7 linked regions of the Nothobranchius furzeri genome follow. The protein of the gene in region 1 interacts with the protein of each later gene in a biochemical or structural test. Links are inferred from orthologs where the notes say so. Each region holds a gene or a part of one and is shown in the gene's direction. Other genes may lie near its edges. The genes, in order: ubiquitin-conjugating enzyme E2 E1, trim32, ubr5, rnf167, ubr7, rnf4 and ipo11.

What was found.
Region 2: the proteins of ubiquitin-conjugating enzyme E2 E1 (region 1) and trim32 form a complex in vitro, tested with the Homo sapiens proteins (2 studies listed by BioGRID). The link is inferred for Nothobranchius furzeri from reciprocal best matches to the Homo sapiens genes UBE2E1 and TRIM32.
Region 3: the proteins of ubiquitin-conjugating enzyme E2 E1 (region 1) and ubr5 form a complex in vitro, tested with the Homo sapiens proteins (2 studies listed by BioGRID). The link is inferred for Nothobranchius furzeri from reciprocal best matches to the Homo sapiens genes UBE2E1 and UBR5.
Region 4: the proteins of ubiquitin-conjugating enzyme E2 E1 (region 1) and rnf167 form a complex in vitro, tested with the Homo sapiens proteins (3 studies listed by BioGRID). The link is inferred for Nothobranchius furzeri from reciprocal best matches to the Homo sapiens genes UBE2E1 and RNF167.
Region 5: the proteins of ubiquitin-conjugating enzyme E2 E1 (region 1) and ubr7 form a complex in vitro, tested with the Homo sapiens proteins (2 studies listed by BioGRID). The link is inferred for Nothobranchius furzeri from reciprocal best matches to the Homo sapiens genes UBE2E1 and UBR7.
Region 6: the proteins of ubiquitin-conjugating enzyme E2 E1 (region 1) and rnf4 form a complex in vitro, tested with the Homo sapiens proteins (2 studies listed by BioGRID, with this or other methods). The link is inferred for Nothobranchius furzeri from reciprocal best matches to the Homo sapiens genes UBE2E1 and RNF4.
Region 7: the proteins of ubiquitin-conjugating enzyme E2 E1 (region 1) and ipo11 form a complex in vitro, tested with the Homo sapiens proteins (2 studies listed by BioGRID). The link is inferred for Nothobranchius furzeri from reciprocal best matches to the Homo sapiens genes UBE2E1 and IPO11.

The regions. Positions count from the first base shown.
Region 1 is NC_091745.1:63,675,094-63,679,999, forward strand, and holds the start of ubiquitin-conjugating enzyme E2 E1, read left to right. Parts: upstream 1-1,773; coding exon 1,774-1,928; intron 1,929-2,462; coding exon 2,463-2,513; intron 2,514-4,906. UniProt on the Homo sapiens protein: Accepts ubiquitin from the E1 complex and catalyzes its covalent attachment to other proteins. Catalyzes the covalent attachment of ISG15 to other proteins. Mediates the selective degradation of short-lived and abnormal proteins.
Region 2 is NC_091746.1:55,656,326-55,659,376, forward strand, and holds part of trim32 (E3 ubiquitin-protein ligase TRIM32), read left to right. Parts: intron 1-38; 5' UTR 39-50; coding exon 51-2,084; 3' UTR 2,085-3,051. UniProt on the Homo sapiens protein: E3 ubiquitin ligase that plays a role in various biological processes including neural stem cell differentiation, innate immunity, inflammatory resonse and autophagy.
Region 3 is NC_091745.1:50,648,657-50,653,354, reverse strand, and holds the start of ubr5 (E3 ubiquitin-protein ligase UBR5), read left to right. Parts: upstream 1-1,558; 5' UTR 1,559-1,715; coding exon 1,716-1,777; intron 1,778-4,698. UniProt on the Homo sapiens protein: E3 ubiquitin-protein ligase involved in different protein quality control pathways in the cytoplasm and nucleus. Mainly acts as a ubiquitin chain elongator that extends pre-ubiquitinated substrates.
Region 4 is NC_091750.1:48,167,226-48,170,319, reverse strand, and holds the end of rnf167 (E3 ubiquitin-protein ligase RNF167), read left to right. Parts: intron 1-1,019; coding exon 1,020-1,100; intron 1,101-1,349; coding exon 1,350-1,765; 3' UTR 1,766-2,518; downstream 2,519-3,094.
Region 5 is NC_091742.1:16,675,727-16,680,604, reverse strand, and holds the start of ubr7 (putative E3 ubiquitin-protein ligase UBR7), read left to right. Parts: upstream 1-1,688; 5' UTR 1,689-1,885; intron 1,886-2,088; exon of another isoform or gene 2,089-2,228; intron 2,229-2,297; 5' UTR 2,298-2,310; coding exon 2,311-2,427; intron 2,428-2,754; coding exon 2,755-2,888; intron 2,889-3,438; coding exon 3,439-3,499; intron 3,500-3,670; coding exon 3,671-3,766; intron 3,767-3,846; coding exon 3,847-3,900; intron 3,901-4,878. UniProt on the Homo sapiens protein: E3 ubiquitin-protein ligase which is a component of the N-end rule pathway. Recognizes and binds to proteins bearing specific N-terminal residues that are destabilizing according to the N-end rule, leading to their ubiquitination and subsequent degradation.
Region 6 is NC_091741.1:64,325,087-64,329,860, forward strand, and holds the start of rnf4 (E3 ubiquitin-protein ligase RNF4), read left to right. Parts: upstream 1-1,503; 5' UTR 1,504-1,649; exon of another isoform or gene 1,650-1,694; intron 1,695-4,774. UniProt on the Homo sapiens protein: E3 ubiquitin-protein ligase which binds polysumoylated chains covalently attached to proteins and mediates 'Lys-6'-, 'Lys-11'-, 'Lys-48'- and 'Lys-63'-linked polyubiquitination of those substrates and their subsequent targeting to the proteasome for degradation.
Region 7 is NC_091757.1:51,403,389-51,407,536, forward strand, and holds part of ipo11 (importin-11), read left to right. Parts: intron 1-2,810; 5' UTR 2,811-2,822; coding exon 2,823-2,960; intron 2,961-4,148. UniProt on the Homo sapiens protein: Functions in nuclear protein import as nuclear transport receptor. Serves as receptor for nuclear localization signals (NLS) in cargo substrates.

The DNA.
Region 1 (4,906 bases):
TAATAAAACACTTTCAAGATGATGATGATGCTATTTTCATAATTAAATCTCGTGACGAAGTTCTCAGATCAGTCATCAGACGTGGTCAGTCTAAGTGGTTATTTTCTGTGGCTGATCTAGTGACGGCTCAAGTTGTTACACATTTCTGATCATCATCAAAACGTTTCACTTTCCTTTTTATCCTTCAATGTTTAGATTTTCAGATCAGATATGAATCATTTTTTAGAAGTTGAACTACTTTTTTTTATCTTTTGATTTATTTGCTGTCACCTTTAACAAGTGCACTGCAGTGCGTGACTTTTAGGCCACCTGTGCTGTCTGGGTGTCATCGGAGCACTGCTGTACAGCTCCTCTGGGAGACTAATCTTGTTTAAATTAAATGTACTTGATGTGAAGCTTTGACACACGCCGCGGACGGCCCAGTTTCCCCAGCAGGACCGGAGCTGTTCAGCCTCCCGCAGCCGCGGAAGGCTACTTCCGTTCCGCAGAGGACGACAGGCAGCAGGCAGCCTGACGGTGGCGGAGGTCCAGACACAAAGAGTGGGTAAGTTTCACGAGCGAGATGAATGGTTCCGTTCAAGCGTTTAGTTCGGCATTGTGAAAATCTGCGCTGATTCCCAACATGTTTGCGTTCCCAGCTGATGTTGATGCGCGGCGACAGAAACGAGAAAAAGAAAAACAAAACGCTCGAGGTCGAGTCAGCAGCAGCACGGGGGGAAGGGCTGCGTCTATGTGCTGGAGCGGTCCTCTTTTTCTCATTCTTGCTTCAAACCTTTAATTGTTACATTTATATGTGTCTTAATGCCAAAGGCAGCGGTTCACAACGAGAGCTGACAACACAGCCGTCGTCTAATTTCACGTTATTATTGTTTTATCCACAAAGACTTGAGGCCCGAGTCTTCGTTACCAGTTAAGTTTTTTATGAAGCGGGGAGGACTAATGCTGGATTACTGATAGTGCTCACGAAGAAAGGTGATTTGAAGAAACATATGGCGTGTATATACCATCAGACACGTTTTAATTTATAGCTTACGATACAAAATTACCATATTTAATGTTAACCACGAGCTAGCTAAGGCTAAAGACTGTTAACCGTAGCGGAAAGCGTTACCTAACGAAAAAAAAAACAGAAGGCGAATCGCTGTGAAATCTCGCGAGAATCCTATCTCATGTCTGCAACATGAGATCAAAACAAACAAGCTAGCTAACTGATGTGTAATGTTTTGTGTTTGCACCATGGTTTGCACATGATCACATCCTGGATTTAATTTATTCTTTCGGATGTAAATGTTTTCAATATCTTAATTTTTTCTAATTTTATTCAGACTTATATATATATATATATATATATATATATATATATATATATATATATATATATATATATATATATATATATATATATATATATATATATATTGCTGCTAGGCTATATCAAGGAAAGGTGGTGCATAAATGTTTAGAAAATTAACATTTTCAAATAAATAATTTCCACAAAAACCTTTTAAAAAATAAGACTGTTTTCCCCATTATTAAGCACTTGGTTTGTTCATTTTTATTCCAGCTTGTTTTGTTAATCCTGATAAAAACCAGATGTTTTGTTTTTGTCAACACTACACATTTGAAAATGTGTTCAGAAACATAAACCTCCCAAAAGGAAAATACTATTACCTACCTTTATTCACAAGTGCTCCACATTTTTGGGTTACTTTCACTTTTCAGATTTCCTCCCATTTCTCCTCAGGTTGCGGCTCTTCTCCAATCCTAACCGGTATGTCGGATGAGGATTCCCGTGCCAGCACCAGCTCATCCTCATCACCACCTTCCTCCAGCCAAAACAGACACAAGGATACAGCTTTCAAGAAGAAACGGGAGAACAAAACCAGCATGAGCAAGACCTCCAAGCTGCTTTCCACCAGCGCCAAAAGGTTAAAAGAAATCTGTCATACAGCAATGGGCAGATTATTGTTGCTCATTAGATTCATGTCTGTTTAAAACCCCTTAAGACAACAATGTTGTTTACATATAAATATGTAACTTTTAGTAGCTGCTGATGGCAGGATAAGCTCAGAAACATGAGTAAACGACAGTAGAATTTGTTTTCATGACTTCCCCTTGTGTATTTATTTAACAGTGAAAAAAACACATTGATGGTCAAAGAGGAACTAGTTTAATTTGTGCTTAGGCGGTTGCTTCTATAAGCCAGAGTAGTGTTGTAAACCATGTTTTTAAGGAAGTACCAGTTTCTTCTTCAGTAAAAAAAAAAAAAAAAAAAATCTTCACAGTTTCAGTCTCATTCAACATTCTTTTCTACAAAAACAGTCAAACAGCATTAAGGTGTGTAAGTTAGTTTTCTGATGCCATGTTAACTAGATCATATTTATTTTTAATCACTTTGTTTGATTCTGAGTAATTCCACCTCTGATCCTTCCATCAGTAATTGATTTTTGTAACATTTGCAGAATTCAAAAAGAGCTGGCTGAAATTACCCTGGACCCTCCGCCAAACTGCAGGTGAGTTTACGGTTTTATGGTTCTTTATGTACTCACCAGCACGACAGATCAGAGTTTTGTCCTGATATTGGCTGATCCAAACTTCCTAAATGTTGAAACAGGTAAAATCATTATTATAGGTCAGTTCACAGTTCCAATACCCACACTGCACCCTGTGTCTTCTGTGAAGTGCGCTTAGAGGAAGTGTGCAGTAAGGCTCTGTGTGCTGAATTGGGACAGTGGCCGTTGCATCATCGACCACTGTGCATGCAGGGATGCCGGTTGCTGTTTGTGCTACTTTTTAAAAAAGCTTTATTAACAATTTTTAAACAGTTGACACAATTTACATTCATTGCTGTTCACATTAAATTTTAATCTTAAACATTCAGTAATGATATTTATTCATATAAATATCATTAGTCGTCTTAAAATGAACTTCTTTTGTTTGAAAATACATATTTTCAAATAAGGCACTTGAGCCATTGTTCAGTCTTTTCAAAATGCCTTCACAGCAATGGGTTGTGGGTAATACCCTTTGCCCAAGTCCGCATCAAGTGTGCAAAAGGGGTGTGGTCAATTTCCGCACTTGAGGATTGGTACACCTTGTGCCCCTGGACAGGAATGCGCAATTGAAGGGCACAAGGGTGGAAGTGTGAGTATTGGTATTGAGCCTAACACAACAACACTGGTTGACTCCTGGTTTCACAAGAACATGTGTCTAGAATGAGGAGGCGGGGCCAAGCTGGTGAGGCTGTGTTGGGATATTCCACGTCCTACTGATTGTCCCTCACAGGGGCCAGTATTACCGTGTTTTCACTACAGGAGTTCAGGGACACTTCTGGGAGAGGGAAAATTCTATAGCTCTGTCCTATCAGCTGTTTCTCCAACCAATCAGCAGAACGTAACAACAAGTCCCGTCCAGCGGCACTACCGGGCCTTTTCCTCGTACTTGCTCCAATTCAGGTTCTAGGTTGGTTCCTGAAAAGCTCTCAAAAGTGGCCCTATTGAGTCGGCCTGGTGAACGTAACGAAGGTCCAGCAAAATGACCCAGATGTTCCAAAAAAATGAAATGGGCCTTCTGTGTTGCTTTTTCCTGAGTACCGTGGGAGAGTTGAATCCAGTGAAGAACTGAATTCCAACAGCAGAATAAAGCAGGTTTAGATGGCACCACCTACAGTAAAGGTAACTAATCAGGCTTCCCACTGTTATCAGATCTATTACCATGAAGCTTCGTTGCAATAAACAAAATTATGTGTTGTCTCAGTTTGAGTTACAAATAGTTTCTTTTTCCTGAATGGAAATGTCAAATACCAAAACATTCAGTTTAAATAAGCAGCTGTTCTTCCAAGAGGAACTAAAATATTAAAACAAATGCGTTTTCATCTGAAGATCTGTATTTACAGCTGTAACTGAAAGTTGAACTTATTTAAAAAAAAAAGCTTCCTTCCTGGTACTGAAACCAAATTTATACTTCTCCGTCAGCTCCACCAGGGAGAGAGACGCACGAATGGAGACGTTTTGCCCCCATACTTCTCCGTCTCCTGGGGAGTGTTACAAAGCAATTCCCCACCAGGACAATAGAGGGCGTAGCACTGTTCCGTGTTATCCGGTCCAAGATGGTGTTTATATTGTGTTTTTTGCATTTAAGAATGGCCAAAACACACACACAAATGCCCTGGGGCCTCATTTATCAAGCTTGCTTACGCACAAAACTGGGTTGGAAAACTGTGTAAGCAACTTTCAATGCAAACTTTGGGATTTATGAAAGAGAACGTAGCGGGAAAATGTGCGCAACTTTAAGTTGACTAAGGACCTGGCTTACGCACATTTTGGACATGGAGAGCACCTGCAGTGCTGCTGCTGAGAAGGGTTAAAATTATGAAATCCTGCAGCATTATCACTTGTACCGCTTCATTTTCACACAGAACAAGAACCCCCCCCCCCCCCCCACACACACACACACACACAGAGAGCCTGAAGCGCAGAATACGGAATGCAGAATATCATCGGGGGACAGATTGAGACAGAATGTCATGCGTAGGGCTGGGAAAAACGATTATTTTTGTAATCGATTAATCTAGCGATTATTTTTTCGATGCATCGATTTAATCTAATGATTAATTTGTTAATTTGATTAGATTAAATTATTGATTATTTCCCAATTATTTGACTTGTATAGCAGTTTCATTATTACTAATTTATGTATCTCAATGAAATAAATGCAAATTTCTTCATTTGAACACACAAATTCAAAAATAAAGTTGTTGTAATAGTAGTACAATCTTATGTTAGAGATAACATTTAACAAAAACTTAAATGTTGTGCAAACTATTCATATAAATCAAGGAAAATTTATAACAAAAAATATATAAATAGCAGCAATGGTGTTTTTTAACAAACAAAATCTAACATTC
Region 2 (3,051 bases), on another chromosome or scaffold:
TCTCCCCTCCTGTTTTCTTTCCATTCTCTCCACTCAAGGAAAAGGCCATAATGGCAGCGTCGTGCTCCCAACTGGACCCAGATCTAATGAGGGAGGTTCTTGAATGCCCCATCTGCCTGGAGACCTACAATCAGGACCACCTGAGACCTAAACTTTTGCAGTGCGGCCACACAGTGTGTCGACTATGTCTCGAGAAACTCTTGGCTAATACTATTAATGGCGTTCGCTGCCCCTTCTGCAGCAAAGTCTCACGGATGAGCAGCATCTCTCAGCTGGCAGATAATCTAACTGTGCTAAAAATTATAGATTGCACTTTGTCCTGCAGTGCTGCTGCTGCTGCACTAATGTGCAAGTCCTGCTGCAACCGTCTACCAAGACAGTACTGCCACGACTGTTCTACCGTTCTCTGTGAAGTGTGTAAAGGTGAGGGCCACCTGCATGAAGGTCATTCAGTTCAGCCAATTAAGGTGGCTGCTGAGCAGCGTCGTAAAGAACTGGGCGGGAAGCTGGCTGCTCTCCGGGATGTCATGGGTGAAATTCAAAAGAAGAAGACGGCGATTGAAAATATTTCTAAGACCTTGAGACAAAAATATCGGGCAGTTCAGCTGGAGTACAACGCGGCTGAGCAACATCTTCAAGGGGAGCTCAGCAGATCTCGGAGGCTGTTCACAGCCTCGTTGGGAGAAGTGGAAAAACTCAATGCGCAGGTCCTGGAGGAACAAACGTATCTTCTCAACCTCGCAGAAGTAAAAGTGGTGTCACGCTGTGATTATCTGACTGTGCAAGTAAGGCAGAGTGATGTCGCCCTGCTCAAAGATGATGGTGCAGGAAGTGACGATGAAGAGCTAGACCTGAGGGGCAGTTTATCCACACAGTTTCAGCTTCAAGAGCCGGCGCTGGTGAGAATAGAGCAATCAAAACCTCTAGAAGTGGGGCATTTAACCACAAACACTTGCGTCATTAATACAGAGGAAGACAATGGAGGTGCAGAGACTGTATTTGAGAGTGTATCTGGGCCAGGAGGTGCCACAGGAGGTGCTGTAAAGGTTCCGGTGGATCTTTACAGGGATGTCGACATGGTCTCTGCAGTAGAGGAGACGGTATGTGGTTCACCAGGCAGCTTTAAGTCCAAGTCCATGGATGAAGGAGGAGGATCAACTGCTGGAGCAAGTTCAGGACCACCAGTGTGCCAATTTGTAAAGAAGATGGGCTGTAAGGGAGCTCTACCTGGGATGTTTAATTTACCAGTGAGCATCTGTGTGACGCCACAAGGTGATGTACTAGTGGCTGATCGTGGAAATTGCCGTGTCCAGATTTTTAATCGCAAAGGTATCCCACGTGAAATCCGACGTAATGCCAGCATTGACAACTTTGTCCTGAGCTTCTTTGGGGCTGACCTGCCAAATCTAAACCCCTTATCAATTGCTGTGACACCACAAGGCCTGATTGGTGTCACTGACAACTATGATAACTCTGTAAAAGTCTACACAATGGATGGCCACTATGTAGCTAGCCACAAAAACCAACTGATCAAACCATGGGGGATTACTGCCATGCCGTCAGGTCAGTTTGTGGTGTCAGATGTGGAAGGGGGCAAGCTGTGGTGCCTCGCTGTGGACCGCAACGTAGGCGTAGTCAGCTACAACCGATTGTGCTCTGCTGTGCGGCCAAAGTTTGTGACGTGTGACACAGCAGGAACGGTATATTTCACCCAGGGCTTGGCCCTGAACTTTGAGAAGCGGCAGAATGAACCCCACCTGGAGGGTGGCTTCTCCATCAGTTCAGTGGGCACCAATGGCCAGCTTGGCAAACAACTCAGCCATTTCTTCTCAGAGACCGAGGACTTCCGCTGTATCACTGGCATGTGTGTGGATGCCAACGGGGACTTGCTGGTTACAGACAGTGGTAGAAAAGAAATCCTGCAGTTTCCCAAAGAAGGTGGATTTAATATTCTGATCCGAGAAGGGCTGAACTGCCCTGTGGGGGTTGCCACTACCCAGAAAGGGCAGCTGTTAGTACTAGATTGCTGGGACCACTGTGTTAAAGTCTATACATACATTCAAAAGAGGCATTCTTCCACTTAAAAGATGAACTGAACAAGTTCAGTAGGTTTGGTCAGAATTGACCTTTGAGAAAGGAAGCTTTAGTGTAGATTAAATCCAAACAATTGCCTCCCTGGCTTTCATTGTTACACCACATTTGTAAACTCGTATTCCAACTTAAAAACGGGAGAAAACACCAATATGACACCAGGTCCTTTTTATTGGCTGTTTTATTCATCTTTTCGCCTGAATGTGTGTGAAGTAAGTAAACCTGAAGAAACAGTGGCTGATAATATACTTACATATGAAATAAAGCACACTAAGGCTTTTGGCCTGTGAAGCACTTTATTCTCGACACCACTGTGTCCTATCAACGGGTTTCAGTAGCACACTAATGATAATGAAGCTGGCAGCTTTAAACATTTACTTTGTTAGTCTTTAATGACAGAAGTCTAATGAATTATCAATCATTTGCATTTGGCAACATTCAGAGAACGTGCAGAATAGGAAGTACCTTCTAGACGAGTGCTGAACTGTAAAATCATAACCTGAAGGGCTGTGTGATAAATATGGAGCCATGGTGATAGCTGTTTGGGGGTTTGATTTTACATTTGGGTCATGTTGTTTCCTCGTTGGTACAGTTATATTTTATTTATTTTCTTTAACATTTTTAAGGGTTTTTTGGTCACTAAAAGCAATGCGTTTCTTTAAAAATTCCATTTTAGTTTTAGTTCAGCTTTTCAGAAAAAAAAACTGCATTCATTACAAAAACGGAAGCTTTCATTTCTTAAAACAATTCTCACGGTTTCCTGGCAACTTAGGTCCAACTGTATCACGATTGCATTTCTGTTTCTTTGTTGCTATTCTGGAGCTTAAAGCAGGAGGATATATATGGACACTGAAGGTAATTACAAGTTACAAAGGCTGGTTCATTTCTGGTTTAGCTCTGCTTCAGTGAACTTACAAGCACTCGCCTTTACAAGTGAAAAGCTTCTGAATTTAGAAGACA
Region 3 (4,698 bases), about 13 Mb from region 1:
AGCTACCTCGTAGTCAAAGCTGCCCTGGGGTACTGACACAGGCGGGCCTGCCCTACACAAGCACTACCAATCCCTCCGACCACCACTAGCAGGCAATGTGGGTTAAGTGTATTGCCAAAGGACAGAACAGCAGTATTTTCTGCGGTGAGACAGGATTGATCCTACAACCCTCCTATTGCTGGATAACCCAATCTACCTCCTCCTTGTCTTTATGTCTAGTAATTATTTTATCTTATTTTTGTCTTGTATTTTTTTTATCTTACCTGTTTTTCTTTTATGTAAAGCTAACTATGTGTTTGTTGCTGCTGCCTCTTGGCCAGATCATCGTTGTAAATGAGAATGAGTTCTCAATCGACACATCTGGATAAATAAATGTAAAATTTATTTATTATTTATTTATTAATGATTGTTAACCAGCTCAGTGGCCTAGTGGTAGATTGTACACCCTGAGACTGGGATATCAGGGTTCGATTCCTGGTCGGGTCATACCAAAGACTTAGAAAAAATGGGACCCAATGCCTCCCTGCTTGACACTCAGCATTAAGGGGTTGGATTGGGGGGTTAAACCACCAAATGGTTCCCGAGCGCGGCTGTGTCTGCAGCTCACCGCTCCCCCAGGGGATGGGTCAAATGCGGAGAACAAATTTCGCACACACACCTGTGTGTGTGACAACTAATGGGACTTTAAAATAAACCTCCTGAGCTGCTGCTGCATAACATTCTTACAAAGACTACACATTTCACTGTACTTGCTAGACTTGCTGTCTAGTTGCTTTTTCCGTATAAGCTGTTAATACTTTCAGCAGTTAAAAAAGGCAGAACTGTTGGACAAATTTCTGCATAACTTGCAAATGCAAATTATTCAAATTGTGCATAAATGCTGAGAGTTGTAGACACACACACACACACACACACACACACACACACACACACACACACACACACACATATATATATATATATGACATGTTATATATATATATATATATATATATATATATATATATATATATATATATATATATATATATATATATATATATATACCGGTATATATAGCAAGGTGATACTCTATAATAATAGAGTATTACAGCTATGGGTCACAATGTAATGAGAATAGAAATGCAAATCACACCATTATGTTGCCTCCTATAATATGCTTTTACTGGCACATTTACTTCAGGTACAGTCGGACTTCTGAACACTGGAGCTGAAATTCAGGAGCCTGACAGAAACCCTGGAAATTAACCACAAACTTGTCAGATTTTTGTTCAAACTAAACCAATCTTCCTTTTGACTTCAGGGTCTGGAGAGATTTTCACCCCACAGTGTGGAAATAAAAAGGCCAACTAGGCAATTATTGGTCCTGTAAAAACTGTCACCGCGATAAAAATATGTAAAACCAGAAGAAACAAAACGAACATATTTAGCAGCACTGTAGTGATGTAGTTGTCCTCCCGTTGGTTTTGTCTCTGTTCTTGAAGCCAGTTTGATGACGTTTCCTGTTTGTGTTGGAGCGGCCGAGTGCTCTTATCAACACTCACAAGAGGTTCGGTAGAGTTAAGATGGCGGCATGTGGGTGAGGAGCCAGGGATTCAAACTCTAGGTCTTTTTTGCAATTAAACGATTCCTATGAAATCACATCCGTGCGGTAGTCGACGGATTAAGTATTTCTATACCTTTCACGAGTCTGTGTGTGATTTTGGATTGGGCCCATGACATCTATCCACTTCGTTGTTCACCCGTTGCCCGGGACCGAAGACCAGCTCAATGACAGGTATTTCGTTGCAGTAAAATAGTAAATAAAATGATTGTTAATGCAGTAGTTTGGTTAAAGTTTATTCTAGGTTGTAACTGTTGATACTGTCATGTGTTTTCTTCTGTTTTTTAAACGGTAAAAACGAGCCCTCCAGGGATGATTTAAGGCCCGGCATTTTGAGCAGACCTTCGGTAGCATGCTAATGCTAACGCGTTAAATGTCTATGTAACGTTAGCAGGACGGTTCCGTTCTCTTCTGGACGGACTGGCTCATAGTCAAAGTTGAGATAGACAATGCGGGTTGGGGGATGGGGAAAGAGGGGTGGAAATATAAGGCTTTTAACCCAACCAAACTGTTAAACCACTCACGTTTGTGTATAAATGACATATACGCCACCGCGGCGAGGGTTTTCGTGTGTTATTTTTGCGTTTTGTTGGCTAATGTTATCAATGAAGGAGCTAAAGCTAGCTAACTGTCAGCTAGCTCACAATGCTAGTTAGGTTAGGTTACCACGCGCTTGACAAAGACATATTCTGAGCTTTTTGCTGTAATGATTCCATTAATCTTGAAGTTTAAGTATACATTTATCCCCAAACTTCATTGCTAAGGCGACCTAATATGTCGCTGCCAACGCTGGGCACTGGGATGCATCTAGCAGCCTTACATTCATTTTAATCTTGTTATCGACTTTAATTAGGCTAGCAAGCCAAGGCGTATAAAGTATCAATAAAGTACACGAAATTCTTTAGTTAGCACCTAATCACCCAATATTGTTCCACTCAAATACTGGTTTCCCTTAAACGGATAACCCAGATATAATATCGTGTAGTTAGCCAGTCAATGCAGATTGGCTAATTTACTCAAAAAAGGTTTCATTTATAAAGTGAAGAGATAGTTAATTAGTAGTATTTAGAAAAAATACATTAGAACTTGTATGCAACCCACGTTTTTCTGCAACACGTGATCTATAATAAATCTATTTATACTGTCCACTGAGATTGAACTGATTAATGAGCTGTTCCACTTAGAGACAAAGAGGTGAGAAGTCAGTGTTTTACGGAATGACCTTGAGCTTAAAGACAGGATAGGGGCTAAGTGTTGGATAGCTTTTACAGGCTCTGAGGAGGACCACCTTTGCTCTGGTGGACAGGGAGGCTCAGTTTACGCTATTATTTTGAAGGAATCTTGCATGAAAATGCCACAGGAGCATCCTGGTGCTATTGGATCCTTGGAGGGGGTCATGGCTCTTCATCTCCAGGCTTTTATTCTTTTGTAATCTACAGTCACAGTGTGCTTCTTGGAGCATCTTCTAATTTGGTTTTGCCTTTCTGTAGTGTTTGCTCTAGTCCGTGGGCTTTAATGTGCACCCTATTGAGCCTAAAATTATGTTTATGTATTTAGCAAATAGTTTTGTCCAAAGCAACTTACAAGTGATAATGAGGCCAGCAGCTTAATTTGTTATTATTTCACTCAGGGGTAGACTGCTTTACTTAACATTAAGATTTAAATTGACTCCAGAGAAATACACAAGTTCAAAGGTAAAAATGTTTACCCCTGATATTCCAGCAAGAATCTGAGCGATAGTAAACTGAGTTGCATTGAAATGGCCCAATCTGCTTTATTGTGGAACTGATTAAAATATTTCTTGTCTCATAGTTTTTGTTCATTAAATTAAAAGATGAAGTTGTCTTTGTGAAGTTTCTATTGGACAGTTCTGTAAGTGGTTACTTTTAACACATTGTCAATAAAATATAAAGGTATTCAATAAAATGTGATACTCAATAAAATATGGATTTATCGATATTATCGAACCTTTAATATTTTATTGATATAAGTATATACTTTGGGTATGCCAGGGAAACAACACTTTATAATAATCTGACACAGAGGCAAAACTATAGTTTATAAAAACCAATAGTACTATATTTCTACTGCTAATGATGATTCATGATGAATTATTATAAATGAAGATTTAAGGCAATATCAACTGAGACAATGAATAAACTGAAGAAATACGAGCTTAGATGTTAAGAGCCTAATAAAGTGTCTTAGATGTGATTTCTGGATTGATAAAGTAAATCTGGCTGAATGTTTAATGAAGTTTAACAAGTTATCAAATTAATAATAAACCATCCAACTCCAGTGTGAAGAAGCGAAGTCATCTCGGCAAGGCAAAGCGAATGGTTGGCCTTCTGATGTATTTAAGGGTTGTAGGACCCCTCAGAAATCACACCACTGGTCGAAGCGATAACTTCCCTGGGTGACTTCTGGTGGTTCTAATGGAGTTTTGCAGGTTCAACAAATAATTGGTTGGTTCTGAAAAACGATGGCTCTAATGCTGCTAAAATTATTCCACTGAAAGATATGGTTTGACTTCACAAAGAATGGTAATTTAGCACAAGCTGGAGCTTTGGCTGGAACTGCCGAATATAGGAAGTGTTTGTCTTTTAAGGGTTTATTGTTTATGCGTTTTGGACCAACCAGATGCCAGAGAGTGTAGGGTTAGTAGGGCTGTAGCGAAGCTTCGATGACGTCGACGGCTCGATTCTAAAAATTCGTCGACGTCAGATCCGGTAGTCGACGCACCGCGCCCACTTGTTGCATCCCCAGGAGTTTGTAAATAGAGGTGGAATCTGCCTGTTTTTCCTCTAGTTCGCCCTCTTCTCCGCCTTCACTAACATCTCAGCCAAATACCGAAGACCCGGAACAAAGTCCATCCGCTACTAGGTTCCTTTCCTGTTTTGCCCGCCTTCGTTTCCCGGCAACGGACAACAACTTCCGGGGTCAAATGCGCTGCTCCGTCTCTATAGCAGATGTAGAAAATCACCGGGAGCGTTTCTCCCTTCATAAAGGAGCTTCTTTCAGACATTAGGAGAGCTGTTTTGGTGGTAGCAGTCTCTCCTCCGAGCTGGTCTGTTTGCTGCTGGGTGTTTTTGGTT
Region 4 (3,094 bases), on another chromosome or scaffold:
AGAGAAACAACTAAAACGTGCAGGGCCAGAATTGCAAGGCTCTGCTTTACAGCTTATTTCTGTATCATTTGCAGGGTTCTGGACATTTGGGCTGCTGTTTTCACACTAAGAAAGCAAATCATTATATTTATTTGTGATGTGAAGTACACTAGCATAATTTATTAGGTATTACACCTAATAACCTGTTTAGTTTAAAATATGTCAGAAAGGGTCCTAACCCAGGCCAGAGTATGTTAATTTAATAGTGAAGGATTTGTAGCTTTTATGGCTGTTGTGAAGATAATTTCTCTAAATGACTTCTCCTGGATTTGCTTTAAGTAGAAGTGGTCTGCTTCGAGGTCCAACTCAGGACTTCCGTTAGCTTGCAGAGCTAAACAGCCACATACGTTTATTCTGGGGAGTGTTGTGTCTGTGGTTCTAAATGATTCCCTTTATGTCTTTGTGAAAAGGATCTTCATATTAACTGCAATCATCGTTTTTATGCTAAAATCTGGACAAAGTGACTGTGGATTAATTATATTTACATATTTGATGGACAAACATCCTTAGAGATCCAGAATGGGAATCGGTCACATTAATTCAAAACTCAGTCATTAAAATCCTGATTTTTCCACTCTGGAAGTTTAAATAGATTATTTACAACTAGAGTTGCAGGGATTGACCGGTTTGACTATTAACCCCGTACCGTAAAGACGTCTCCAACGCCTCCCGTAAAAAACAAAAAGACAATAGCGCAACCTTCACTGACTAAGGCTAAAGTGAAGCTGAACGCAGCAGAAGCAGGTCCAGTGACAACACCCATCGGGACCGTGGAAGTGGTTGAAGTCTTCTGTGTGGGAATATTTGATATATTAGATACATGCCCTCTCCGAATTTTTTAAAAACATCTTGAAACCATCACTGCAGCCCAAAAGTCACTTGTTATGTGTGTGCAGCAGCCTGCTTGGTCGTGTTCATTTGCTGCTTTTCTGTAGGGTTGTGTCTGCGGTGTGATTCCTGAACATTTTCCTGTATTGTAGGAGACGACTATGATGTTTGTGCCATCTGTCTGGACGAGTATGAAGAAGGAGACAAACTGAGAGTTTTACCCTGCTCACACGGTAAAGATTTCTCATTTGTCATCGGCGTGTTTGTGTAAAACCTAAATATGATTATGTATTCAGAAAAGTACACCAAGTACTACTAGATTATAACGGACTTTCTAGGTGTTTTCCTTTGAGGTGACAGCACACGTTTCAGTCATCTACTCTCAGTGACGTGTTTGTTTCTTCATCTTTGTTGTAGTTGATAAAGCTTCTTATGCGTTTTGACCTTTTTCTGAGTTTTGTGAAATCCGTCTGGTTTCTCAGCGTACCACAGCAAGTGTGTGGACCCGTGGCTCACCCAGAACAAGAAGACATGTCCTGTGTGCAAACAGCGAGTGATCCAGAATAACCCGGAGCACTCAGAGTCAGATTCTGAGGAGGAAGGGGCAGGACGCAGAGATGAGGAAGGAACTGATGGCGAAGCTGACTCAGAGCGCACTCCTTTGCTCCGGCCCTCCAACCCCGGGTCCCCTTCAGGGAGCCCAGTGGCCTATTCAGCCACCACCACCGCCGCCCAGTGTCTGGTGTCTCCTGCTCGCAGCTCACCCATCCTGGGCTACCAGGGCTACTACTCTCCTCAGGAGGACACAGACTCAGAAAGTGGCGACGCAGGAGATGACCGGCACCACAGTGATGATGACACGGTTCATCTCATTGGTAGGAACCGAGTCGATGCCTGAACTTAGCTGTAGTGAAGTTAGCCTGTTGTTCACTTTAAAGGAAACGAGAGAGGGTTTTCCTGCCTACAAATGTGCTGTAAAGTTATTTACTTTCAACAATCAGCTAGACCTTTAGACTTCCACAGCGGCTGATTGTTTTTTTTTTTTTTATCCAATAACCAGACACCAGAGGTCTACGTTGTAGTGTCAAAGCGGGAGTCGGTGTAATTTGTTTGATCAAAGTCCAAAAGAATCACTCCCCTTCATAATCGCTCTTGTGCTCATATCTGTAGATGCTTTTGTTGCATGCTCTAAATTGTGACCCAACATGACCCGACCACTAGTGCTGCACAACTTTAGGAACCAGTAAGGTTTATTTTATTAGGTAAGAGCGTAACTCTAGATGAGGTCTCTACACGGAAGGCTCTGATTGTTTCAGTTATATTTTTATTCCAGTTTTAAGTAAACTAACAGGATGTACACGCGGGTAGGGGGGATCTTAGTCTTTGCTTTTGTTTTGTGCTTTTTTCCACAGAGTATTTCTGAGATTTTACTGCTGCTTTTACGTTGTTGCTGAAATCGGTGAAGGTAGGATTTTAGCTTGATGTAGTTTGTAAGTTTGAATAAACTCAGGTTTAGGTCAGAAGGTCAGTTTGAAATGGTAAGTGAAGAACCAAGTAAGGAAATTATTAGCTTTGATCCTTTAAATTGTTTTAGTTTCTCTTGGGAACCTCTGTGTTTTTAGGACAAGGTGCATTGCCTTACACTGACCTGAAACTTCGCATTTAATGTTTTAATCTGAAGACAAGAAAGGCACTCCTTCCTTTTATTTTATGTCTCGTTCTCCATGCCTGAGAGTTAGCTCGTTTCCATGGGTCTGGTGGTAGTAACGGGATTGTGATTTGGACATTAACAAGCTCAGCACCAGAGTAACTGATGATTTGGGCGTCGTCTGTAAATTGAAATGATCATTTTTGTGAAAAGCAGCAAACGTTGTAAGCCTTTAAAATGATTTTGCTGCTCAAAAGTTATGAATGTTTTATGGATTAATTAATTTTGTCTTCAGACGCCCACGCAGAGGTTGTTTTAGATTAATCCAGTCTGGCGAACTCTGAGGTAACATTTTTACTTTCCCTCTTTTTTAAAGAGATCCAGTGCAATTTATTTCTCTCCCATTTGATAAAATAGGTCAATAAAACATATCAGAATGGAGACAAATCTCACAAAGCACCGCTACTTTATAAAAGAGACAACACTGAGCAGGATTTACACAAAGTTTGTGTTAGGGGATTAATTCACTGTTAGAATGCAAAAAAACTCAATTCCTTTATGTTTGACCTCAGATTGACC
Region 5 (4,878 bases), on another chromosome or scaffold:
GAACACGTTTTTAAACATGTTCAATAAAAGTAACTTATGCTGTAACTTCACCCTGCCCTGCCTGCTCCTCCTTGCTGCCTGCCTGCTGTGATCACAAGCGACAACATAGTAGTTCCCGCTGCTTCTTCGGGAAACAGCGCATAAAATAAAATAACTTGGGATCTTGTAGGCGTGGCGGTGGGATTTCAGCCATACATAGGCGGGCCGCCACGGCTACGCCTATGTAAGGGAAACCCTGCGGCTATGCTAGGAGCTAACTCAGCTTAGTGGAGATGACTGGGCTGGTCTGAGACCTAAACCATTGCTTCCCAGAAGGAAGCATAAAGCTGGCTGGTCAGGCGACTGAACTGATATCATTCACACTTTGGCAAATTAAAGAAAATATTAAATTAGCTGTGGATGATGTGAAAGAAAAGGATATAAGCCAACTTTAGCATAAAAGTATGAAATTGTTCTTATTTTCAGAAAGAAATAAAACCGTTACTTTAGGCTAATGTTTTTTATTACACAAATGTAAAGATTAAAGAAAGGAGCTCTGTTAAAATTGTAAGTAAGGTTATTATTGTGAAAATGAACTAAATTGTGTCTGCTGCAAAACATTACAGTTCAAACGGTGATAACTAAACATATTAAAGCAAAGAGTTTCAACTTTGTGCTTTCTTTTGTCTGCAGACCACACACACAGACAGCAGCCTACCAGCTAACTGGAAATAATTAGATGGAACAAGACTGACCAATTATTTAATAGTTTGATGTAAAGCTTCACCGGCAATTAAATAAGTTTATGTCGCTTTAATAAAATTCTGATTGTTTTTACTTCTAATTAAATTTTACACATGTAACGTGATTTAAAGGAATGTTTTGAATCTACAGTTGCAATTAAAAACTCATCCTTTAGAGGGCGCTGTCTCAAACACAATACAAACCTAAAACTCCACAGTGTGCCTGAAACTGCGCTCGGTCCTGCAGCTGCTGCTCATCTAGACCGATCTACACCGAGGCCAAAGTGTCTCACGAGAAATTGTAAAAAGCATTTAATGATAAAAAAAATAAAAATAAAAAAAAGACCGAGGCCAAAGTTACTCACACGGAATAAATTATCGCGAGACTCAAGGAAAAGCTCACCTCGCGTGCAGCCTCCTCGCGGCCTCTCGCGGTCCACCAGCTCGGTAAGAATTTGCGACACTTTCGCGTTCAGTTCGGAAATCCCACTTCTCAGAGCACTGAGTCCGTTTCCGACCACTACGCCGACGGTTCGGTTCTGTCCATCCCTGAGCCTCAGCTCTGCTTGCACACACACAGCCGCCATTCCGGTGTCGTCATCACGTATCACACGGAGCTGCCTTCAGGAGCGCTGCGTTTCCGTCAGCTGATCGTATATACTTTACGTACACACGAGGAGTTAATAAGTAGATTAATGCTTTTGACTATTTGATCTTAATCACTAATTGCCACACACATACACAAATGATACTGCTGTTAAATCTGAAGTTAATCTTTAGCACCAAAGTGAAACGCTTTCAGTAAAATATTTCGAAGGACGGATTTTGTTTCTGGTAGTGAACACACCATGGAGTTGGCGCGTTCGGTCACGTGATTAGTTGTTTTATTTGAGCCATTTTTTGGTTGGGCTTAATAAATGTTTCTGCAGCGCGCAGGTTTATGATTCCGGTGGATCAGTCTGATCGATTTGATCTCCGTTAGATCTGTTTTAGAGGCGGTGACCTCTGACCCCAGGACCGGAAGTTGTGGGTAGTTAGTGTAGATCGCGCCTATAGCGACAAAGATAGATTTTCGGACGCAGTTACTGGTGATAATCAATCAGCTGGTTGCTTTGTGAACGACAGAAACAGCGTCAAAAGTGTCGATTTACCCCTGTTGTTCGGTGAGTTTGGTTTATGCTACAAGCTAACAGGATTAGCACGAGAATGCTAAATTATGCTAACTAAATATTGATCATTTTATGTAATGGAACCATTTGATTACGTCAGGAATAGTTAACTCTGGGTTGTCATGGTAACAGTTAGATTCTGTTGCCATTAAACTCACCTGTCCCGACAGGTAATAATCAAATGCCTGCTGTTCCGTTTATAAAACAAAGTTAACATGTTAGCCACAGTGCTGGGCTGGTTAGGGTTAACCTGCTCCACCCTGGGCTCTGGTGGAGGTGGGTGAAGCTGAACACCTCGACAGGTCTCTGAGAAGACCATCAACTCCTTCAAAGACAGGTTAAAGGTCAATGAGCGACCACCGTTTGGACCAGAACCCATCAGTGATACATGCTGTTTGTCCATCAGAGAGAAGACCAGGATGAGTGAGGAGCAGACGGTGTCTCTAGTGGACGTTCTGGAGGAAGATGAAGAATTGGAGGAAGAGGCTTCAGCTGTGCTGGCCGGAAGTGACTCCGATCACTGCTCATATCCTCAGGTATTCCCAGATTCCACAGATATCCTTACAGTAAGGGCTTCTGATCCAGTCAGTGTGTCTGTGTGTGTGTTGGTAAAGAGGTCAGGGAGCAGGTGAGGTCTCACCTGGTGCAGATTGATGACCTGTAGTAGATATGTATGACCAGGAGGTGGTGCCAGCTCATCACCGCGTTTCTGGTTTTTTACCTGCTTCTGTAGCTAATCACGACTAACTAACCAGTCACGCACTGATGGTGACGAGCTACATCATAACCACAGCTGGTGTGTGTGTGTGTGTGTGTGTGTGTGTGTGTGTGTGTGTGTGTGTGTGTGTGTTCGTTCGTTCCAGGGCTACGTGAAGCGACAGGCACTGTACGCCTGTAACACCTGCACGCCAAAGGGAGGCGAGGCTGCAGGAATCTGTCTGGCCTGTTCATACAAATGCCATGAAGGTCACGACCTCTTTGAACTTTACACCAAGAGGTGATCGATGCACTCTGTAATCTCCACATGCCGACAAATCAACAGATCAGTTTGTACTGACATCATATACGTAGACGCCCCGCGGACTGGCTGGCCGCCACCTTGGGTGGGTCTCCATTTGCTCCCAGTGCATTTATTACCACTGAGGAAGGTGTTTCCCCAACTAAAAACAGTTTGTCATGTTTTTTAACAGTCCAACACATGGTATGGCATGATAATAAAAATATAATATAATTAAATAATAAACATATAACATCACATCAGGTAGGCTAGAAAAGTCAGTAATCCCGCGTTATCTGTTTTAAATAGTGCGCCAGTTGTTGCAACACAAACCTGGCATGGCCGCTCGCGCTGCATCGACTCCTATTGGGTTTGGAGAGTGAGGAACCCATCCAATATGGCGACGACACTGTTAATGCTCTCCAGTGCCCAATGGGACGTCTACAGATTCATGTCTAGCTTTACCTCACAAGTCTAACGTCATACAGGAAATTCTAACAAGATCACTAAACTGATCTAGAACCTCTGTCTTCCTCTGTGGTTTCTCCAGGAACTTCCGCTGTGACTGCGGAAACAGGAAGTTCTCTGAGCTGCAGTGCAAACTTTATCCAGTGAGTTCACCTGAGAACACCTGTGATGATCTGTTATCACTGCTTAAGCTGCCACACACTAACACTGTGTGTGTGTGTGTGTGTGTGTGTGTGTGTGTGTGTGTGTGTGTGTGTGTGTGTGTGTGTGTGTGTGTGTGTGTGTGTGTGTGTGTGTGTGTGTGTGTGTGTCAGGACAAAGACGATGCCAACAGTCAGAATAAATACAATCACAACTTCTTTGGTATGTATTGCACGTGCAGCCGGCCGTATCCTGATCCTGACGACCAGGTAAGTGAGACAGCTGGAGCTCACCTGTCTACCAGCTGTTACCTGAGGCTGTCTGACTGATTTGGTGTTTTTGGGTTCAGGAGGAAGACGAGATGATTCAGTGTGTGGTGTGTGAGGACTGGCTTCACGGCAGGGTAGGTCCAGGGGCCTCATTTACGACAGTGCCCTGTCTCTTAACTGGAGGGCTGTGGGATTGATTTGTGTGTTGTAAAGTGCCTTGGGGGGTTTAGAAGCCTAGAAGGTGCTATGCAAATACAAGCCATCTATCCATTCTCTTCCGCTTATCCGCAATCGGGTCGCGGGGGCGAAAACCTCACCAGGGAGGCATCCAGGAGGCATCCTGACCAGATGCCCAAGCCGCCTCAACTGGCTCCTCTTGATGCAGCTCTACTCCAAGCCCCTCCCGGATGACAGAGCTTCTCACCCTATCTCTAAAAACTGCGCAACTTGTGACTCATCTCAAGCTGATTTTCTTCTGGTGTGAGAATCCGAAGCTGGACTGAGTTTTGCGTCGTGTACAGGACGTAACGATGAGCAACTAACACCTCACGACCAGCTCCCAATCAGCAATCGCGCAAATACCACATGGGTTAATTTGCTCGACCCTCACGAGGGTGTCGCCCTGTTGAAGCCGTGCTGAGACCCTAGAGCACCAGAACCAATCGAGGTCAGACCCTCACTGTTTTTAAGATCCGGGTGAAGACACTTCTGTAGCGTTCCCTCAGCATCATATTTTTAGAAATTATAGTTTCATTTCATCCTGTTTGGTTTATTTATCAACATGCTTTTATCTTCTGTCTTTATTGGTCTTAATGTATATTTTGTGGGCCCTTGCTTGGGTCGGTGTTGTTTTAAATTCTTTTATGCGTGCACAGCGCTGTGGCTGACCTAGTAGAGAAAAAACGTTACAAATAAAGTAGCCGCTCACACAGCGCATGCATCAACACGGCTCCACAGGTATTTACACGGTTTTCTGCACTCAGTAACCTGACACGCTCAGTGGCCTGTGGTAGTGTCCGCCCTGAGGCTGATGGGGTCATATGCCTCCCTGCTCCACACTCAGCAGTAACGGGTTTGGTTTGGGGCTGAACCACCAAATGGTTCCTGAGCGC
Region 6 (4,774 bases), on another chromosome or scaffold:
ACACACACACACACACACACACACACACACACACACACTTACTCACTTACTTACTTACTTACTTATATGTGATGATTTCAAAGCTTTGACTTTTAACAGGCAGTTTTAAGATCAGTTCCTTCTTTTTGTCCATGACATGTGACATGCATGTTTTGGGTGAAAGCTGGGTGGACCAAATCCACCTGAGAGGATTTAGCTTTTTAATAAATTCAGTTTAAAATCAAAAGTGAATGATTCTGTTCTTACAGACCTTTATTTGACAACTTGTCTTTTCAGTGCTGCGTTCAGGAATCTGGCTCGGTGAGGCGCTCATGAAGGCGCGGCCCTAAAGCAGACCCTGCCAGGTCACGCTGGAATTTTCCAGCCCCCGATCAGGTTTTCCCACAATGCACTGGGTCACCATACAGTACTGCAGCTCCCACAATGCTTCTGGCAGTTGTTGACAGATAGGTGGATAGATATGTAGCTTTCCTTTTGTCACATGTTTCCAATCTCATAGATCTTTACTTAAAACATGAAACTGATTTTGTTTATTTCATGTTTATGTAAACATTCGTGCATCTGCCTCAGCATCTTTGACCTGGCTCTGGCACCACTGGACCTGTTTGCTTCAGCTCATCTTTTGTTGAATGTTTTTGCTTCATTTGTGACAGCAGGAAGCTGTGAAAGTTTGCGTGGCTGATGTCATTGATGCATTTGTTGATTTGACTTCAAATAAAATCTGAATGTTGAAACTTTTATGTTGACCTGTTTGAGCCATCTGTTCCTTGGTCAATACAAGATGTTTGTTTTACTCTGACAAATCCTCCTTCTGGTTAAGAACCATATTGTCAATGCCTTCTGATACAAAATTAAATCATAAATGATTTTAATCATCTCAGAATAAATTTTTTGATCACACCAAAATGTTTCAGTGGTCTGATCAGAGTTTTTCTGGACAAGCTCTTCAAATAAAACTTGTTGAAAGTTTAAAAAAAAATGCATATGTTCAAATGCGTTTTGACTATGGTTGTAAACAGTGATGGTTTAGATCTGGACCCCATGTGGTTCAGATGTAAATTCAAGGTGGTTTGTGAGGAAAATATAATCAGTATTTTCTGCTGTTGAGTTTACCATTTTAGGTTCAAAATAGATCTGGTGAGTATTTCTAATAATTTTAAATATTTTTGTATGATGGAGAACTTTGACGCAAATCACACTTCATTTTAAAAATATTATATGCAAAATTTACTGATATTATTTTTACTTTATTGATAACATTATTTTTGTAACAGAACCTTAGTCAGAGTGATTGTAAGTTTAGTCCTGGAATAGTTCTATCATGTTGGAGGCTTGATTTTGGCATCAATAAAATCAGTTTCAAACTGAACCATTAAATTTGTGTACTGCATTGATTATTCAAGAAAATGGAATTGGAGATAAATATATTACTATCAAATAATATGATTTTCTTAAATTTGTTTTAACACATTTTTAACGTCGCAGTTCCATCTGAACTTTGCAGGGGGCGCTAGTGAGCTCACCGTTAGAGTACAACTTCCGGTTGTAACCGCAGAAGGCGCAGAAAGTAAAAGCTAACATTACAATCGTTCGTTTCGGTGTTCTGGGGCAGAAGTAGATTTTCTTGGACCGCGAATTCTCCGTTTGAGGTGAGACGTGTCACGTTCGAGCCGAACACATGAAAACACCTGGTGGTGAGTGAGAGAAGCTAACTGCTAACCAGTTGTGAGAGAAGCTAACTGCTAACCAGTTGTCTCTGGTCGTGATGGTAAAACGAAACTCCATCCGTTTAGATTTTGGACCGAAGCCACCTGTTTTTGTTATTTTAGTGACACATTGACTTCCTTGAAGAACACTTTGAAATTAATTGCGCTTAAATGAATACGCCTGTAAACAAATACCATCCTCAGTACTGTAGATTTAGATGGAAGTACTGTAGATTTAGATGGAAGGTATCAGGTGTGAGGAGTTTCTACTAAGGTGTAAAGATACTAGTGAGACCAGCCATGTCTGCTTTAGAGACAGCGTCCACAAGGTAAAGACAGGAAGTAGAGTTAGAGGTTGCGCAGCTTAAGAAGAAAGGGGCAGCTTATTGTGGTGACAGAGGTGGTATGGGTGTGCTGGTACTAAACAGAATGTTAAGTTAAAAGATTAAAACAATGCCATCTTGGGAATTTCACCCAAGGAAAATAAAATGGTACCTTTAGGCGCACATAGGTTCAATGCTCTCACAAAGGCGACAGAAACGAGGTGTACGCAAAGTCCACAATTTTATTTCGTGTTTTGTTAAAAGGACAGCAGTTTAAACTACTAATTTAAAAATAGAAAGGGAGAATTAAAACAAGGAAAGAAAATAATTAGTGTTACCAGGCTGGAGCTTACCAAGGTAAGGTGGACCCACTGGAGGTTCTAGCAACAACACAAACTAAATACCAATAGTCACCCAAAGCACCAGTGAACAGTCACACAGATGTGAAGGGGGGCCCACACCAACTCGCACACGGAAGAACCACCGCCACCACCCTTGGCTCCAGCCTGGACAAATAAAAGTTAAAAACCACAATAAAATAAACTCTGTTGAAATACAATAGTGCTCCAAAATCCTCATGCGTCAGAGGTGAGAAAAGGTCTCCCTTTCCACTCCAACCAACATGCTGGGCGGGAGAACGTCTGGCGGAGGAGCACCAGCACTGGTTAAAATCCTCGGTTATGCTCTGAGTTTACATGCAGCCAATATCCGGGTTATGATCGGGTTAAGGTCGGTATTCGGGTTTCTGAGTTGATCAGAATAACCCGTTTACAAGCATAATAAATAGAAAGAGTTACCCCTAACTTGCATAACCCGATTTAAATGCGGACGTTGGGGTAGCGTCAGGACGTATGGACTACGTCAAGACGCAATATGCGTCATATTTCGCTGTCTCTGTACTTTCGGCTGTCAACAAAAGACATAATGTTCATACTTTTCACCAGACCGATGAAGACAGGTTTCCTCGTCACTCCAAAAGTGTGGTGCTGTGCCGCGACTCGCCATGTTGCTCCCATCTTGTTTACTTCCAGTGTTCTGGCGCATACAAGACGTCTCGCTTCTCAAAAGACCAAGATCCCTTGCGAACAGAGCATGCGCAGAACACACGCTTTGAAGGGGATATCCCGATATGTGTTTACACGACCAAACATTCGGGTTAGAAAAGGGTTACCCCAGGTGTAGTAACCGGGTTTTTAAAAACCCGGTTATGAGCATATCCGGGCTTTTGGCGGTGTTTACATGGCCGTGCGGAACCGGGTTATTGTGAATATTCGGGTTTTAAAAGGGTTACTGGCTGCATGTAAACGTACAGTGAGCGGTGGCCCAAACTGCTCCCGATAGGTCGGTCCGCTCTGTCGAACCGCTCCTCGGTTGTTGAGGGAGAGAGGGGAGGGGGGTCACAGCAGTGACTCAAAACACTTTGTCGTAGCATCACAACACCTCGGGTCCTAAACAAAAAAGGTAATAAACCTTATTAACCCAGAAAAGAATATTCATACTGAGCGTGCAGGGAGGGGGCGCACCGCACATACATACCACGCCGACAGCAGTAGATCACCTAGAAGGCAAGCACGCTTCTTTTCCAACAGCATGCGGTAACGTTACATTATGTTAGATGTTTTGGAGTCAGAGAGGACAGACTGAGTTGGTTTGGATATGTCCAGATGAGAGACAATGATTACATAGGTAGGAAGATGATGAGGTTAGAGTTAGGGGTAGACCGATATTGCTCATGTAACGGGTATTACAATTAAATAATATGAAATAGGTATTGAACTATTGTCTTGACAACTCTGGACCAGTATCAAAAGTTCTAGGTAAGATTATGGAGCCTTGAAAGGATCAGCAGAGAAGGAACCACACAATGACAGATAAGATATGATTTAAATAGAAACTGTATTGAAAAGGTGTAAAGTTTACAAACCCTGCCTGTCTAAGCCGGCTTCCTACAGTGCACAAACGCACATTAAAGGACTCAAAATAAAACCAAAACCCTCTTTGAGGAAATTCTCCAAAGAGTTTCAATTAAAGAGCTTCCACTCCTGTTGCTCAGTCCACTTCTCTTTGGAAAGAGAAATTAGTTTGTGTGTGTGCGTTTCTGTCCAGTGGATCTAACACTACCCGGGTAGATTTTTTAAAAGTGTCAGTCTTATCTGTGTCAAGGGATGTAGTGATAGTCCTGGGGTTCGCTGAAGATGGATCCCACGGCTGGCCACACCGTACTCTGGTCCGTCTACAGTCACTCTCTTGGAACTGGCTCGCCACTGAACCCACAAGGTTCAGATCTCAAATGATCCGGTCCTGGTCAAAAAACCAATCGGAGCTCGTGGTGAGATAGCTCGCCTGGCTGACGCAGCTTCCCACGCCCATATTTCACAGAATTCAGATCCAGGATCTTTCAGTTAATCTGGCGGTTGCCTCGTGAGTAACGGCTTTCACAACAGGAAGTGCTGACTAACAGGAAGTCATCTCAAGGCATACTCGCCTCCTAGTGGCGGAGAGGGAAATTACACCTCCAACCTTATGCCGCAGCACAAACCACAATTCTGATGTGGGTTACACTCTCCCCTCCTGAACTCTTGCACGTCCCTGTGCATGACAAGGTTCACACAAATGTCTCTTGGGGGTAAAGGCAAGAGTAGAAGCATGTGCTTCACCTTCATTTACCATGTCATTCCACGCATCGGTCAACCCTTGGAAGAAGGACTTTACCACGGTGACAATTGGTTTCCCCAATTCAGTGTA
Region 7 (4,148 bases), on another chromosome or scaffold:
CTGTCCATGAAGTATGGCCTCCTGCTTCTGACACCGTCTTTGTGCCAAAGCATTACAGCCTCATTTGGGTCATAGTCCTTGATCCCTGGAGAACACAGCTGCACCATGAGAATATCTGAAAGTGTGTCAGGGCTAGGGTTGTCACGGTAACCGGTGTAGTGGTAAACCCCGGTAAAAAAGTTGACAATAATAATAACCGTCTTGTTTTTTAAAACATATATTATCTCGGTGGATTACCGTGGCTGCGGTGTAGGCGCGGTGACCCTTACCAGCCACCATATCATCTGGAAGTTGCCGGCGGCACATGCGCACTTTGTTGTTTACGACCAAAACTTTCTTTAAGCTAAAGCTGAAATAATGGCAGGAGGAGACGACAGCACTCAGGACATTTATTATCCCTCAAAGAAGACAAAGTGGGAAGTACGGGCATATTTTGGATATTTGAAGAATGCCGAGGGCCAGTTGTCTGTGAAAGGCAGCAACGCTACGTGGCCATCATAATGTATTGTCTCACGACTCCGCCATCTCCGGTTCGCCACTTTCACAACATCTTCTGGTTGCCACTGGTCCTGGTGGTTATTCTTCCAGTTCAACGAGTTTTCTTTTGGAAGGCTGGCTGACTCCAGTTAAAAACCACCACATTTCACCGCTAGTTTTAACACGAAGCTAACCGCTAACTTGATAAACCGAATGGGATAGGTGGAAATGACGTTGGATGCGGCGTTCACGTTTCGCGTACGTTTGTGTACGTTGCTTGCAGGCGGGAGGAGTATCAGAAATCCATGGAAGATGACTGATAAACATAACTTATTTGGTGCAAACATTTACTTGCCATGTGGCAGATAGAGCTAAAAAATTTGCTCGCCAAATGGAGCAATTTGCTCGCATTTGGCGAGTGGCGAGTGTTAATTTCAGACCCTGGATGGTCTGCTTCCTGATCATGTGACATGTGCGGATGAAGATCGGCTTCAGGGCTGAGATGTTTGTTCTCTCAGCGCGGGGGTTCGTTCCGATGCTCAAACAGTAAAAAAATGCCAATGACTGTAGTCGTCATTGGCAGTGAACGGTTGCATCTAAAATGACGACTTTAGTCGTCAATGGCAGTGAATGAGTTAAGTATCTGCTGCATTCCAGCTCGAGTCAGAGGGACGTGGAAAACGTGTTGACAGTTAAAAGATTCTAATCTTATATCAAAGTATGTCACGTCTGGAAGGGATGACACGAAAAAGCTTGCTGATCCTATCAAAATGATAAAAAGCCATGATAAAAATGATAAAAATGCAGCTTCAACCTGTAACACAATTGACATTGTGTTACAGGTTGAAGCTGCATTTCAATCGAATCATTGTTGGTTTAAACTCTTCTGGTCACTCATTTAGAATAGATAGCGGCAACAAGAAGTTATTTGGCTAAGTTATTCATGATCTTCACTCATCAGGCGGCAGCTGGAGCCACATCGTTGCCAAATAATTGTGATGTTGAAAATGAATGCAGTTCCAGGAGAACTCTGGTTTCCTGTAGTGCTGAATATTTGTGTCTGAGCTGTAGATGGCAGCATTGTTTCATGTTTTCTTTCTTCTCCATTTGAGTCACTTCCATCGTTCTACCATTCAGTTGCTCATTTTATGAGTTTGTTTACTCAAAGTGATTAAGGCAGGATATTTTAAATCCAGTGAACCTATAAGAAACAGGTATTTTTAGATATTACTCTATAAACTTGTAAATTCAGTAAAGCCGAAGGGATTTCCTCTAAGTTCGTTTATCCTTTTACTTAAATGTGAGTGTGAGCTGTTAAAGAATGGTTTACACCATATTTTCACTCCTGGAAATGTCTTTTATGGGTAAATTAGTTGAGTTGCCATTTAGAATGACAAATACACATTTGATTGTGTGAAACTTGGGTGGTTGAACAACATCTGGAGCATGAAAGAGCTATTTGCAGGTTTGAGATGACTCCAGTTTTTTCTATTAAGTGTGATTTATTTTTTATTTTATAAGAGCATGTTTCATCTTGTGTTTGGCATTAGTTTCAGCATCGCTTGAGCTATAACAAAACAGTGTTGAAATAATAGTTAGATAAAGTAAAAGCCAATGTTTCTGAGGATGGCTGCGCAGTGGTGCAGTGGTTAGAGCTGTTGCCTTGCAGCAAGAAGGTCCTGGGTTCGTTTCCCGGCCTGGGATCTTTCTGCATGGAGTTTGCATGTTCTCCCTGTGCATGCGTGGGTTCTCTCCGGGTACTCCGGCTTCCTCCCACAGTCCAAAAACATGACTGTTACGTTGATTGGTCTGTCTAAATTGTCCTTAGGTGAGTGTGTGTGCGCATGATTGTTTGTCCTGTGTGTCTGTGTTGCCCTGCGATGGACTGGCTCTCTGTCCAGGGTGTACACCGCCTGATTGCCCGTTGACCGCTGGAGATAGGCACCAGCCCCGACCCTGCGTGGACAAAGCGGTTTCAGAAAATGGATGGATGGATCTTTAGGTGGGAGGTTTCACTGGACGATGGAAAACAGATGATTCCCAACAACAAATCTTAATAAACACGGATGTGACATGAGCCCTCAACTATGATGCAACTGGCAGAAAACAAAATAACAATTAAATAGAAAAATGGGCTTTTTTTAAGTCCACTCCTCTCAGGATGGTTTCTGAGGATATAAACCGACTCCCTCGACTTTCTTGTGATGCTTAATTATTTAGGTTTCGCCGTGAACTGACGATCTTTTTTATTTTCCTTCCAAGCATACCTGAAGTTTCCTTAAATAAGTAGAATTTTCCCTGATTCTTGTTCTCTCTCTTCCTTTTCTCTGTAGATATATCCAGATATGGATATGGACAGTGCCAGCTCTGTGGTGCTGCAGACCCTGACCCAAGCTACCAGTCAGGACACGGCTGTGCTGAAGCCTGCAGAGGAGCAGCTCAGGCAGTGGGAGACCCAGCCTGGCTTCTACTCAGTCCTACTTGTGAGTCACGATCGTCAGAGTCAAATAAATCTGCGATACCTCCTCTAGCATGATCCTTTAGGAATGTAATGATTTAAATTACATGTTATTTAATAAGCCATAAGACGTAGGATTCCATAGCCTCGTCTCGTCTCGTCTCGTCTTCCTCCGCTTATCCGGGTCCGGGTCGCGGGGGCAGCATCCCAACTAGGGAGCTCCAGGCCGTCCTCTCCCCGGCCTTGTCCACCAGCTCCTCCGGCAGGACCCCAAGGCGTTCCCGGACCAGATTGGAGATGTAACTTCTCCAACGTGTCCTGGGTCGACCCGGGGGCCTTCTGCCGGCAGGACATGCCCGAAACACCTCCCCAGGGAGGCGTCCAGGAGGCATCCTGACCAGATGCCCAAACCACCTCAACTGGCTCCTTTCGATCCGGAGGAGCAGCGGTTCTACTCCGAGTCCCTCCCGAATGTCCGAGCTCCTCACCCTATCTCTAAGGCTGAGCCCGGCCACCCTACGGAGGAAACTCATTTCGGCCGCTTGTATCCGCGATCTCGTTCTTTCGGTCATTACCCAAAGCTCATGACCATAGGTGAGGATTGGGACGTAGATCGACCGGTAAATCGAGAGCCTGGCTTTCTGGCTCAGCTCCCTCTTCCCCACGACAGATCGGCTCAGCGTCCGCATCACTGCAGACGCCGAACCAATCCGCCTGTCGATCTCCCGATCCCTCCTACCCTCACTCGTGAACAAGACCCCGAGATACTTAAACTCCTCCACTTGAGGTAGGACCTCTCCCCCGACCCGGAGGTGGCAAGCCACCCTTTTCCGGTCGAGAACCATGGTCTCAGATTTGGAGGTGCTGATCCTCATCCCAGCCGCTTCACATTCGGCCGCGAACCTACCCAGCAAGAGCTGAAGGTCAGAGCTGGATGAAGCTAGGAGGACCACATCATCCGCAAAAAGCAGAGACGAGATTCTCCTGCCACCAAACTCGACACACTCCACACCACGGCTGCGTCTAGAAATTCTGTCCATAAAAGTGATGAACAGAAACGGTGACAAAGGGCAGCCCTGGCGGAGTCCAACCCTCACTGGGAACAGGTCCGACTTACTACCGGCTATGCGTACCAAACTCACGCTCCTCTGGTAAAGGGACTGAATGGCCCTTAACAGAAAGCCACCCACCCCATACTCCTGGAGCGTCCCCC